Linked DNA regions of Daphnia pulex. The protein of the gene in region 2 interacts with the protein of the main gene of each other region in a pairwise test. Links are inferred from orthologs where the notes say so. Each region holds a gene or a part of one and is shown on either strand. Other genes may lie near its edges.

Region 1 (3,924 bases), on a different chromosome or scaffold from region 2:
ACGAGATTAAATTCATCAAGTGAGCTTGAAAACGCACTCTCCAAGTGCCCTTGGGTCGTATCTGATGAATGCCGAATAATTGCATAAATGAATTAAATGGATCGTTGTCAACGGCGAGAAAAAAGTTATTGGGGTGGGGGAGCTATCGAAAGAGATGAGAGAGTTGTCTCTTCTGTGTTTTTTTTTTTTTTTTTTATCCTTCAAAGAGAGAACAGTGGGTTCGTAATAAACCCACACATTTGGTTAGAGCTACTTGTGTTAAGACCGCCATTAGGCCATCGGTTGCATCGGTCTTGTCGCCGGAGTGGGTGGTGCAAAAGAAGGTGGGATATATCCGACAGGCTTGGGTAGTGGTCGGATAAGGAAGAGACGTTCTCCTTTTTCTGACGTGAAAATGGGGGATCTTTGGTAGTGGTCTACCAACTGGTCGATAGAATGGAACCTAATTCGAATATTAATCAGAATGTAATTGGAAGACTATGAAATGAATATAATCCGATCTTACCTCCGCTGACCGATGACATACAAAGCTCCTTCGACGTGGACTCGGAAATGCTTATTGCGACCGGGTGCTTTCAGAGACACGGAGTAATCTCCAACCTATTATTTACAAATGAATTAGTAAACGTAAACTCTAAAATAGTTTTTTTTTTAAACAAATTACGTTGGTTTCAGATGATCGCACAAGAAAGTCTCCATCTTGACCATACTGATTAAGTAGATTATCGCATTCAGCTCGGGTGATGGCTCCGTAAAACCAGGATTTTTCTTTCAAGTGAGGGAAATTAGGATCCTGGCTCAGGCTAGCAGATACGGCGGGAGGTGTATTCAAACTCAAGGCATCCAAACTTCGCCCCATGCCGTCTACTGCGTTACTTCCGTTGTTCGGCATCGGGGGCAAATTGCTGACAGGAGGCCCACCTGGAGCACCATTACCACCAGGTGCTCGTTGACGGAAAGGTTCGGTCAAAAAGTCGCTAATCTCCTAAAGAAACAAGAAGAACAAGTTTTATTGTAACGAGCATAACGTTACCAATAATTAATTAGTCACGACGAAATAATACCTGAACGTAGTTCTTTGGAATCAAACCAATTGAACCATTGGTGTTCCGGGCTCGATACCAATCCGGATCTGCAGGTGGACGATCAAGAATTTCAAGTCTCTCGCCTTTAACGAAGCTTAGTTCTTCGTTATTTTGTGCAGCAAAGCTGTAAAATATATCAAATACCAAAATAAATTTTAATCCAAATTAATGACTAAAATTCGGCTTACCTGTAAAGAGCAACTACGACATCCAAAACATTCTCGGCTGCTGAGTACATGTGTTCTCCCGCAGACATAACCATAGCTGATGCAGCCGGCGGTGCGACGCTTGCTGTCATGTTTGCTACAGGCTGCTGCTGCTGTTGTAATGAATCTGGGAGGGTATAATTTGATGGAAACCATCCAATTTGGTTTTGGTATTGACCTTTCCACCAACCATCACTGCTTTTTTCAAGCACGAGCACCTTTGTTCCTAATAAATGCATTGATTGAAGTGTTAGTAAACATACTGGGGGTGTTGACGTCAATTTGCAACAAGTTACCTTTCACAAGAGACAATTCATCAGTTTGCTGAGCAACATAATTGTAACGAACAAGCGCCCAGCCTTGGTGAGGCCCTGCATTGAGATCATGAGCTGGATAATGTGATGTATCAGGAGAAGGGCGCTTGATTACTACTGGAGAATCAACTTCTCTCACGGGAGAGCCACCGGGACTGTTGGAGGATTTGTTGATGCTATTCCCTTTTTTCACTCTCTTCTTGATTGAGTCAAATATAGATGGTTTCTCCTTCTTCACATAATTGCTAGGGACATATCCCCATTGGTGTTGAGAATTTTGAACTTTCCACCAATGTTTTGAGTCATCCAGCAATAGAAGTTTGTCATTCTTCCTTAAACTCAACTCCTGTGATCCTTGGGCAACATAATCATACTTTGCAATGACATAACAGTCTTCAATGGCTTTGCCTGAAACGAATGCAATAAACCAACATATAAACATCAACTAATGACAACTGCATAATGAGTCACCCTATAATAATAAACCAACATACCCATTTTTAGACTGCTAGACATTATGTTGTGCGACCCTTAGCGGACACCAATGAGCAATCACTGCCCAAAAATGCTTTGATTTTGAGCAATACTCAAGCTGAACGATGCAAATTCAATTCAATGACTCGTCTTTATCGATTTTAATCCTCGAAAAACTTTTCGTGGGCAGGGCCAGTTTTTAGTTAGCTGCCATGTTGAATACGATGCCTGCTGAGTTGCCATTTACTTTAAAGGCTAGAGCGGAGCTGACGAGAAATAAAATGTGAAATTTACATTGTAAAAAAAGTTTAGAATTTATAGAGGATTGATCCATCAATTTTGGTCATTGGAATGATTTCCGCGCATGCAATATCGTAACAGATTACGATTATTGCACTGTTGCATTTTCAAATAGTTGCTCAGCCAAGAGGGAACTAAGAGACTTATTTCTATTTATGCTGTACTTCATTTAGCTAGTTTGACTAGTATCCACGAGCCGCAGGTGAAACCATCCCAATCTTTCCACCTCATGATGATCGGGTACCATAACCACTGGACCACGCCAGTAATATCATTTATGAATTTTTTTTACTACACATTAAATTGTTTTATTCACATTTTATTTTTGCGGAGCTGACGAGTCTTTTATAATTTTTTTTAAATTGATGATTATTTATTTTCCGGTAATCATATTCAGTTTACATTAAATTCGAAAATTTCTATGCGTTTCCAAATGCGGGTTTAAAATAACAAATAATTTGTCTTGAAAATGGTATTGTTTTATTGTGCATTGACGAATTAATCGTGGCGCAGTTTAATCAAGATATTATTCCATAATGTCGCGCTTTGCTCATAAAGTCCGATCGGGAATAATAACAACCTCTCAATACTCTTTCACCCTGATAACTTTCACGCCCATGCAAGAGCCTCCAGTTATCAATTATCATCACGGTTCCTGGTGAGAGACGAAACCGATATTCGTTTTCTTTTTTCTTTACGAGCGTCGCCATGGTTTTTAGATAACGATAATGGGTACCGACTTCCTCTTGTGGGATACCAGAAAGAGGCGACCGATCTAGCATGTTGAACCTGAATAAAGAATAAATTTACTGTAATTAAAATAGAAACGCCTTTTTATTCAGACAAAAGTATCTTACCGAATCTGTTCCAACTTATGGCTCACTGGATGATGACGGAAGATGGGACCCCAAGAAGAGAAATGCTCACCTGGTTCAATATACTCGGCTTCCATATTTACTTTGGACAAATAATCGTAGGCAGAAGGATCAAGCTGTTTTAACTGCTTAGCCACGTGAAATCCGTCTACCAAGAAAGATTCGCAACCCGTCCCATTGAAATGAGTACAATGAAAAACCAAAAGCCTAAAACAATGAACGGATAGGATAGAAAAGGATAAATTCAGTTCAAAAATAAGAATTAAATCAACAAGAAAAGAGGGAAATCCATACCCTTGCGCTTCAGTAAAATAAGTGTTGTCTGTATGGGCTTCTAAATAGCCGTTCAGGTAACCCGTATCCTTATGGTCGAAATTGGTACCGGTTTCCCAAAACTTTCCAAAGACCGTGTGGGACATACGGCAGATACGCTCGATAACCGCGCTGGTGTCAAGTTTCGTTGGTGGTACTTGCTCTATTTTGACGAAGCCGTACTGAAAGACCCGGCGATATATTTCACGTAATATTTTATCATCACTCATCAGGCGTTGATGCGAAATGGGCTCTAAACCCAATAAATTCACGGTAGTTCCATCCCATGTAGTCAATCGGTCCGTCTCTTCTTGTAGTGCTTTGTACTTCCCGTCGTAAGTATTGCTAACAAGCCACG
Region 2 (3,924 bases):
TCCATCTAATCCGAGAAGAATGTTATCCGACTTGATGTCTCGGTGGATAACGTGGTTGTAGTGAAGGAATTCTAAGGCTTGTAAAACTTCCCGGCACACTGCGGCTATTTGACCTTCGTCCATGCAAGTTTCGGTTACAACATCAGTCAAGGAGCCCCCAGGAAGATATTCCATTACGACCTGAAATACGAATGAATTATAAATTTTAGAAAATCAACATTTATGTTGAAAATGGCTGCCTTACCCAGAGTTCGTCTCCAACAAGGTACGAGTCGAGGTAATTAACTACGTTAGGGTGTTTATTCTCTCGCATCACCAAGATTTCATTAATAATCAATTCCTTCTTAGGTTGCTGTGACAGATTCATTTGTTTGATGGCTACTTCTTGACCCGTTGAAGTTTCTATTGCTGTGTATACAGTTCCCGAGGCTCTAAAGGACACACAATTTCCACCATTGCATCATAGACGATTGAGTTTTTGAATGTAACTTACCCTTGTCCAATTTTCTCCATTTTGGTATATTTGCGATTGGGATCGCCAACGCTCACAATTAGTCTCAATTTTTCTAGAATCTCCTCGTCTGACATTTTTTTCTTTCGCGCATTCGGCGTTGGAGCATTTTTATTACCGTCCAGCGCATAGGCACCGTTGGTAATAGGCACCTTATGTTCCTCGATAGGTTTCGTATACTATTAGCGAAGAAAACGAAGGGGATTATTACTGACAAAAGAAAAAAAAAGCTTAACTTGTAAAAATCAATTTACAATCGATTTCGTTCGTTCTGGACGAACAGCCACTGGCGGAGGAGGCGCTTTGTCCTCACCGTCTCGTTCATTTTCCTGATTGTTGGCAAGGTCTGCGAGATGTTCACTGCCTTTATCGTCATCTCGCTCAAGACTGCCGATGGTGTCAGTAGCTTGGCTCGATTCTGTTTCAGGAGTAGATACCGAGCCTGAGCCGGATCCTTGTCGCCCAAAACTTGTAAGGTGAAGGGGAGTAGCCAAGCTATGTTGTGAGGACGAATGGCTATGATGACTTGGGCTATTGACCACTAAGGAAATTTTAGGACAAGAACTGTCAGTTTGTTGATATGTAGGTCTTGAATAAGGGCCCAAACCATCCACTTGAAGGACAACAAAATTTTGCTAAAGCAAGAACATAAATAAGGCATTTTATATTATGGATCTTACCCGTGCTTTTCTGCGTATGCGTTTCCATATACTTGGTTTCATTTCCTACTTGGGAAGAAATGTCGTACCATTTGAGCACATCAAGTACAGCTTGAGGATTTTTCTTTTGTTCCTGTTTGCTGATATTGGATGTTTGAAGTAATTGGGCCCAAGCTTGTGGCATTCCCTATGTATGGCAAATTTGTCAAAATATAACATTTAATGTGATGCATGTGACATAAAATAGTAACTACTCATTCTTCAACAAGCAGACTTAGCTTTATCATTCCTTACTTGACATTGCTGCTTGCATTCAAGAAAACACAATTACATTAATACAATTATCTGAAGGCTACACACACGCACACACATTCACACACTAATGAGAACTTAATCAGCAGCACTACAATAAAAAATTATTTTTCTTTTTGGCTGCCATTCTCCAACCATAATTGGCCATTTTCAATTCAATATCAATAATGTTGTAAAATAATGTTGGTTCGTAAAACTAAACTTGTCATAATTTTAACTATAAAGCCATGCATTCCTAAACCATGACTCGCAACGCCCAAGAGTATTTTAGAATTATTCATGCAAGCATTTGAAAGAAATTTACCGTGAATTCTCCAGTGATTGCATCAAAACCAACATGAACGGTGTGTTCAAAATTTGTTGGGTAGGAAATGTTGGGCTTATCTGATCTATCATTGTTCTTTCTCTGAGGGACCTTAACTTTTAAAGTTTTCTTCTTTTCTGACTCAGGTTCCTTTGGTAAAGGTCTAAGGTCAACAGGAACAACAGGAACAGCTTCATTCCTTGAAAAAAAAAACAATACAAAAAAAGGTTTAGGGTGTTGGGTACTGTTGATTGGCAAAGAACCCATTTTTTTTTTATTGCTCACCGATTGCTAGTCAGTCTGACAGGAGGTGCAGGTGGCTTATCCTCTTCATCTGCCATTTTCACCAGTTTTCACCTTCTCACGATAAACAAAATGACGAAAAATAAGACTTCAGTTTGTTTAAACTGGACGAAAATACACAAATATAGTGGGTGGAGAGCCTAACTCTATACTATCAAAAGAAAAACTGAGAAAACCTGGCAATTTGTTTCACTTGTGAGCAAAACTAGAAGCTTTCAGGTTTCAGATATCCTTCTTATCTATTTTCAGAACAAACCGTAACTTTGCAAATGAATCGAAAACAAGAAAATCGTAAGGAGAAACACACATACCACCCACAGACAGAACAAATTACTCTGACAGTCTGGTCTGTAATTTTTTTTTTTCTTTTTCGTCGCTTGTGGAGCAGTATCGATATAGACTTAAATCGATATTTTCACTCGATAGTGCTATTTGAGCCCATCCCGATAGACACATGTAATCCATATCAAATGGACAGAGCGGATATTGCATTGCATCGAGTAGCCCACGAGCTTCACACATAAAACCTGATTAAATAGAAAGACCTTTGGAACTTGGACTAGCTAATATGATATCGGTTGATATCCGCATCGTATTCGGCACGCATACAGCGTTTTACCTTTCGTGAATTCGCAGATTGCACAGTCTTTTTATAATGGAAATTGAAAAAAGAAAACCCTCGATTTCAATTGATTTTTGACGTGCATGGTTATTCTTCATGCAAGTCCATCATCGATATTCGTCACAATGATCAAGATGAATGTTGAACGTCGACCTAATAATTACCGGATACAACGCAAAAAATGCATAATCGATTTTTTTTTAATACTTGTCTCGGTAAATTTTTACTTTAAAAAATTCAATGAAAAATCGTTATCGCATTAGTTCATACAGGACGGGACACGGGAGGACGCTTACGTGGCTAGTTGCTAGAAGCAAACGAGGGGTCACATGGAGTCGCTTGATAAGCTATCGCTTGTTGGACGCCACTTGACGATTGACGAACAGACGATAATCAGGTAAACATTGAACAATAGTTGTTTGTTTTTTAGAAAACAGTTGCTATTACTCCAAACATTTCTTTCTTAAAATGACTGTTAAGCAGAATCAATTTGTCTTTTCAAAGTAAAATGAAATAATTTCTCAAAACTCAACATTCTAGTGGGAAAGTTGTGTGCGGTGATATGTGAGCAGAATCCGAAGACCGGGCGGGGATAAGTGGGCGGCTTTTTCCTATCTTTTTTCTTTCTTTCTTCTTCCAAGTTCTTGCTACCGAGGATAAAAATAACCCCTCTTCTTTCTGGCATTCGACGTTAAGTCTGGAGAAAAGACTTGTCCCGAAGAAACGTTAGCAACCAACCACATTTTACAAATTCAGTTTCAAGACGGAAAGACAACTGTTCCCAGCGGCTGTAGTCTCGTCGTCTCTTGCTTCCGCTTCCGCCTCTTTTCCCCTGTTTATTGTTGATTTTTGTTTTTCTGTGCAAAAGTGCTTACTTCTCCGCCCATGAAAACTTACTGAGCCACAGCCATGGATGACTCTACAGAGTCGGATGTGCTCTACGAGGCCTGCTCGATCCTGATGCGACTATCAGCCCGTTCTATTAAAGGAATACGAGCCGATATCGATCAAATTGAATTGCCAAACTTGTCAATCGAATTGCAAAATTTGGTGGACGAACCGCCCGTGTATGGAGCCGACAGGAACGGCAGCAGCAACAGTTTCAACTTCATACCCTTGATATTGGGTCTCTTCGCCCTTGGTTTGATTGGAGCGGCTGCACGTAACGAACGCATTCAAGGCTGGACTCTGTTGCTGTCAAGAATTTTACGAA

What was found.
Region 1: the proteins of serine/threonine-protein kinase Pak-like (region 2) and cytoplasmic protein NCK1-like interact in a two-hybrid assay, tested with the Caenorhabditis elegans proteins (2 studies listed by BioGRID). The link is inferred for Daphnia pulex from reciprocal best matches to the Caenorhabditis elegans genes pak-1 and nck-1.

Annotation. Positions count from the first base shown.
Region 1 is NC_060024.1:8,484,811-8,488,734, forward strand, and holds the start of cytoplasmic protein NCK1-like, read right to left. Parts: upstream 2,316-3,924; 5' UTR 2,122-2,315; coding exon 2,100-2,121; intron 2,014-2,099; coding exon 1,588-2,013; intron 1,518-1,587; coding exon 1,274-1,517; intron 1,210-1,273; coding exon 1,065-1,209; intron 986-1,064; coding exon 665-985; intron 601-664; coding exon 506-600; intron 443-505; coding exon 271-442; 3' UTR 1-270. Other genes in the region: trimethyllysine dioxygenase, mitochondrial-like, read right to left, coding at 2,898-3,168, 3,237-3,461, 3,549-3,924.
Region 2 is NC_060022.1:3,422,139-3,426,062, forward strand, and holds the start of serine/threonine-protein kinase Pak-like, read right to left. Parts: upstream 2,487-3,924; 5' UTR 2,401-2,486; exon of another isoform or gene 2,266-2,400; intron 2,144-2,265; 5' UTR 2,128-2,143; coding exon 2,072-2,127; intron 1,986-2,071; coding exon 1,787-1,985; intron 1,358-1,786; coding exon 1,192-1,357; intron 1,125-1,191; coding exon 766-1,124; intron 691-765; coding exon 494-690; intron 432-493; coding exon 245-431; intron 181-244; coding exon 1-180. Other genes in the region: probable protein phosphatase 2C 8, read left to right, coding at 3,621-3,924. UniProt on the Caenorhabditis elegans protein: Required for hypodermal cell fusion, together with cdc-42 and ced-10, leading to embryonic body elongation, which involves dramatic cytoskeletal reorganization.